Linked DNA regions of Saccharomyces cerevisiae S288C. Changing the gene in region 1 together with any one later gene gives a genetic interaction. Each region holds a gene or a part of one and is shown in the gene's direction. Other genes may lie near its edges.

Region 1 (2,786 bases):
TCAATACGACGTTAAACTGTCGTCATAGTGCGAATGCTGGCTAGATACGTCGGTTTCTTAGACTAAATCATATACGTCTTATTGAAATACGCCTACATAACTTATCCAACCTTGTCTCCTTTTCCAACGTTATGATTCCGGATCTAAGTATAATTTACTCAATAAAATGTGTATGAAGGAAGTGAAGACTCGACAGACCCGCTTACCAGATATTCTTTCTAAACAATAGGGTTTACCAGTACCCCTGAAAATGATAATGGACATGTGCGGCTGATCGCGTTAACTACGTATGCAGTTGAATCAAAGCCATACCACAGAAAATGGTACAAGAACCCACTGGATGGAATAGTGCTGGCTATCAAACTAATATTTTCTTTCCAGCTCTTGGGGGACCTCTACTGCATTATATCGTAGTTTCCGCTTAGTCTGTTTATCGCCTGGGAAAAAGGAGTGTAAGAAGCAGTCAAGTGCGGCGCAATCTTTCGGACAGCGAGCCGCCATTATAGGCGGGAATTCTTGAAGAGTATCGCTGGATATTATTGCAGTGTATTAAATTTCGTCAAGTCTTTGCCAATGGAAATGGGTGCGTAATTTTAGGTGCTTGGTACATATGAGTTCAAAACATATGTAGTAATTGGATAGTAGGTAGTAAGGACACATAATCATGGAAGGGTGACTCACAACGAATCACATAATGGGTTAGGATCGTAAACTTCTACGACTGCAGGCAACTCTCAGCACATGATTTCTTCTTCATTTTTTGGTATGGAAAAGGAACTGTATTTTTTTCTCATGGGTTTGGAAAAACAAAGAGCTCCTCTTTGATGGGGTTGATTGTCAGGCTTATTTGAATGAAACTTTGGTAGCCATTTGTTCTCAAAGGAATCTGTGTTGGCTGGGTTATTAAACGTGGAACTTTGGAAATACATCCAAGAGGCACAATTGAGCTCTAACGATGAGCCGTTACGATAAAGATAGAGACATTTCTTTTGACTTAGAAATTACAAGGAGTATCAACTATTAATATATTTTTCCTAGAAAACGTTTTTAGAATAGAATAGAACAAATTAGCGCCATCTATTGCCCTTACACTTTTTTCCTTCATATCTGACTAGAAAAGGGGGAATACATCTCGGAATCAAATATTTCCCCCTGTGCAAAGTTTTAATACTGCTACTACGAACTGGTTACAATTTTATTTTTATCATACAAGATTCTTTGAATATCAACTTCTCTCAATACCATCCGCCTTCAGCGGCTACAATTACGTAATTGCACCAAGGCATTCGCCGAGAGTTTACATATTTGCAGACCCTAACAGTATACGACTCCCAACACACGTTTAATGTTGTACGAATTCAAGAGATAGAAATATTTCTTGCATGGAAGCCGTTTAGAGCAGACTGAATTTAGGCTTAGACAATAGGCTTCTGTACGAGGGTCCAAATCTAAAATTCGGATATTCTTTTTGACCGAAAATGGAAACTTCGCAGGCGCGCAAAAGGGTTTTTCAAGGCACCTCGGCACCCCTATAATTGGCATTCTCACATTCTGCGCATACGAATACACATGAGTGCCATAAAACAATACTCCACATACGAAGTCTATCAAAGATGTATGATTCGTTCAAAAACAAGAACATCTTCATAGTGATAATGAGATTGTGTGAAAGATGAGATATGGAGAATATGTGAGGTACTAAATGAGCATCTGTTAACGAATCGTTTAAGTAATGATGACAGATGGAGGAACGGGTATAAATAGAGCTGCTCCAACTATATGCCTTTGAGAATATGTCTTTATTCTTTTCTTTCCTGTTAAGCTTATATCAGCACTAACAAACAAAACAAATACAATGGTCAAATTAACTTCAATCGCTGCTGGTGTCGCTGCCATCGCTGCTACTGCTTCCGCAACCACCACTCTAGCTCAATCTGACGAAAGAGTCAACTTGGTTGAATTGGGTGTCTACGTCTCTGATATCAGAGCTCACTTGGCCCAATACTACATGTTCCAAGCCGCACACCCAACTGAAACCTACCCAGTCGAAGTTGCTGAAGCCGTTTTCAACTACGGTGACTTCACCACCATGTTGACTGGTATTTCTCCAGACCAAGTGACCAGAATGATCACCGGTGTCCCATGGTACTCCAGCAGATTAAAGCCAGCCATCTCCAGTGCTCTATCCAAGGACGGTATCTACACTATCGCAAACTAGAGACAAACGCCAATTTTACGAACGGGCTTCCATAGACATTGAAAATTAACGAACAAAATAAAATAAATAAAAAACTACTTTTTTTTGATGATATAAATACCGTAGATTATATAAATGTATATTAATATTATAGACCTATTTGATCAATGACGGTGTTCGTGAAGCATTTTATGAATATGATAAACATAGAAAGAAACTTTTACATTATTGTAGAAAAAGCGTGGACGGTAATAAAGCTAACAGTGTATGTCCAATAAACAACAATGAAATTGGAAGCGTATGACTTCGCAGCACTTTGTCCTTCCATAAAAATGAGTCGCTGCTTCTTTTTTCATTTTTTGGCGCGTCGCGTCGGGCCGTATAGAATATGCGCCACTTCTAAGAACATGATTGCAGATCAGGGCAGTGCGAGCTACAAGTCATGGTATCAGACTCTCATTTAGAGACCCTCATTTTTTGACACGTAAAATATCAAAATTTTTGGGTTGGCACAGTTTTTTGTGTAACTGTAACTAGAAATAAAGCTGAGGGGTTAGTGTTCTATCAACAATAAGATAGAGGGTGGTAA
Region 2 (3,519 bases), on another chromosome or scaffold:
TAACAATCGTTATTATGAATATGAAAGGTCATCAAATGAAGTCTCTCCTTTTGATGATGAGAATCCAAATGTGTTATCTGATGGCATGTCACCCACTATTATGGCAACTGCAACTGCAGTAACCAACGCAAATGCGCCTTTACCAGTTAATGCACAAGCCAATAATCCTTTGAATTTTACATCGGCCCCAAGTAGAACTGTTTATTTGGGTAATGTGCCACCAAACCTAAGCGTTAAAGAGTTATTGGATCATGTCAGAAGTGGTGTCGTTGAAGACGTCAAAATCATACCTGAAAAGATGTGTGCATTCGTTTCGTTTATAGATGAAAGTGCTGCACTATTGTTCCATTCAGACGCAATTTTAAAGCGCTTGAACATCGGTGACAGGGATATCAAAATCGGGTGGGGGAAACCAACTCGAATTGATCCTATTGTAGCGGCTAGAATCTCTACGGACGGTGCCACAAGAAATGTATACATTGGCCGTATGACGATTGAAGGCGAAGAATCACATTTATCTGAGGAGCAATTGAGGGTTGATTTAGAAGAATATGGTGAAATTGACTGTATAAAAATTATCAAGGAAAAGGGAATCGCCTTTATTCATTTTGCGTCTATTTTAAATGCTATAAAAGTGGTTACGAATCTGCCAATTAGAAATCCATACTATCAAAATAAGAGAATATTTTATGGAAAGGACAGATGTGCATTTATTACCAAAACTCAACAACATAATGCGGCTCAATTTCTAGGTGTACAACCTGGTATGGAACATATGATAGAGTTTTCTGATCGTGAATTTATATCTAACGCTTTGTTACAACAGTCTGCTGCTGCTGCTGCAATTGCTACATCTGCGGGCGGCCCCAATAACTTGGGTAACAGGACTGTTTACCTGGGCAGCTTGCCTAAGGATGTTAAAATTGAAGAAATATGTAATGCAGTTCGTGGAGGTTTATTACAAAGTATAAAACTATTGAACGATCGATACGTCTGTTTTGTAACATTCATTGATCCTACTGCTGCTGCGCAGTTTTATGCAATGAGTTCTTTGTATGGATTCACAGTCCAGAAAAAACGTTGCAAAGTCGGCTGGGGTAAACACTCCGGCCCATTACCAAATGCGCTCGCCTTGGCAGTCAGTAATGGTGCCTCAAGAAATGTTTATGTGGGTAATATTGATTTTGTCGGCGATTCCCTAAGAGATGAACGTGTCTTCACCGAAAGCAACTTAAGACATATCTTTCAGCAATATGGGGAAGTGGAACAAATCAATTTCTTGCCTGAGAAGAACTGTTGTTTCATCAATTATACTAACATCAGTAATGCTATTTTAGCCTTAGACAAGATTAAGTCTAACCCCTATTTCAAAGATCTCAAAATAAACTTTGGCAAGGATAGATGTGGTAACGTCCCCCACCAATCACGTTAAACATTATGTATATATGTATATGTATGTACGTAGATGTTTAGTGTCCGTCTGTGTGTGTGTATCCTTGTATGTATGCAGCAATCTGCGGTTTACGTTTAGAAGTCTTGTTAAAATATAAAGATTAAGAATTAGCCACTGCGATCTGCAAGTTTCTCACCGTTTGCAACATTATCATCTTTATCATCGCATTCCCTTTCTTTCACTCATCGCTTTTTCCCTGCTCCCCTGTCAAAGAAATCTCCGAAGCGGTAATATTTTACCCCCACAGTGTAAAGGGTTAAAGATACTAACAAAGTTTCTTTTAAGGGGAACTATGTGAAAATGGGATAAAAAATTTGGCAGTGATGTTCCACCAATACGGTGTACATACAGATAAATAATACAAGACTATCTCAAATAACTTCAATTTTTTTGTTCTTTCCCTCTCTCCCCTACTTTCCTTCTCTATATCCACTTCTTTGCATACGTACGTACATACATACATACTTGGTTGTAACATTAAGATAGGCAAAGCAACTAAATAATGGTCACCATTGTATTTGATCATCCGGCGGAAGACTTTCCAGAGTTGAAGATCGCTGGGGAGTTTACCAATTGGGAAGGTGTACCCATGAAAATAAATACCAGTAGCGGGAAATGGGAATACAAATTTGATGAATCTTCGGTAACCAAACATAATGATAAAGATAAGGTACATTTCAAATTTATAGATCAGAACGGTAACTGGTTTGCCGATGATGAGTATCCAAAGGAGGTGGACGAGCACAGCAATGAAAACAATGTTGCTACTTTAAATAACGAAGAGGACGGCGGAAGCGCTGGTGAAGAAAAGGACGAGGGCGACAAAACTGCACACAATACAAATGAAAATGGGTCAGAGTTGTACTATGAGGGCCCTGAGACGCCAACTCCTTCTTTAAAAGGTAATGTAACGTTTCCTTCCCCTAAAACAGCTATTTCGCAAGATGGTTCTGCTTTTGCAAAAGAGACTACCAGGAAAGAAAGAAAGTATGAACATGCTCCATTGAACGAAGTTCCAGTAGAAAGAGATCCAAAAGAAGAGAATAAGGAGCTCTCTCCAAACTTTTCTCAGGAACAGACAGAGAATAAACAGGACAAAGGTTTAGACAATCTATCTGAAGGTAATGATAATGATAACACAAGAGTTAATGAAGATACAGACGTCACCGACACGCAAGAATCAGAACATGAGATCAACGGTTCTGATACTGAAAATACGGATATGTCCGAACAAGAAGAAATACAGAAAATAGATAAACCCGCCGATCAAAACGCTAAGTCAATTGTAAAAGAAGGCGATGCCAATACTGAAGATTATGAAAGTGTTTTGAAAAAGCTACTGGGAGCGTTAGGACGCTTTTTTGGCTCATGGTTTTCTTGGTTGACAACGAAAATGTCAAGCTCAGAGGCATCATAATCAGGGAGTGTATTTTTTTTCGTTGTCGTTATCCTCTTTGTATTTTACGCTGTTGAATTCTCTTAGGATTCGATTCACATTCATCTTTTTTTAGCTACTAATAGGATAAATTATAGGAATTTATAACAAATTGAAATATGGCAGGCAGCAAAATTAAAATTGTCTTAGTTTTTTAGTGTATAGAAGTGAATAGCTATATAAAGTATGTGTAAAGTTGGTAACGGAACGAAAAATAGAAAAGGATATTACATGGGAAAACATGTTGTTTACGGAGAAATGAAAAGTATATTGTATTTTGTACGAGCTAAAAGTACAGTGGGAACAAAGTCGACTTTGTTACATCTACACTGTTGTTATCAGTCGGGCTTAGTACATTGGTTGGCCGGGTTTTAACTGCAACCAATGCCAAGCTTCAGCGTCGGCTTCTCTTTTGTACATTGGTTGGCCAGGCTTTAGTTGCAGCCAATGCCAAGCTTCAGCGTCGGCTTCTCTTTTGTACATTGGTTGGCCAGGCTTTAGTTGCAGCCAATGCCAAGCTTCAGCTTCGGCTTCTCTCTTGTACATTGGTTGGCCAGGTTTTAGTTGCAACCAATGCCAAGCTTCAGCCTCTCTTTTATCCAAAGATACCCCTTCTTCTTTAGCAGCAATG

Evidence for each region.
Region 2: mutations in PAU1 (region 1) and UIP4 together harm fitness more than expected from each alone (negative genetic interaction), as found in Saccharomyces cerevisiae (one large-scale study listed by BioGRID).

What each region holds. Positions count from the first base shown.
Region 1 is NC_001142.9:8,208-10,993, reverse strand, and holds PAU1 (seripauperin PAU1), read left to right. Parts: upstream 1-1,855; coding exon 1,856-2,218; downstream 2,219-2,786.
Region 2 is NC_001148.4:193,863-197,381, reverse strand, and holds UIP4 (Uip4p), read left to right. Parts: upstream 1-1,955; coding exon 1,956-2,870; downstream 2,871-3,519. Other genes in the region: MRN1 (Mrn1p), read left to right, coding at 1-1,432; MF(ALPHA)1 (Mf(Alpha)1p), read right to left, coding at 3,237-3,519.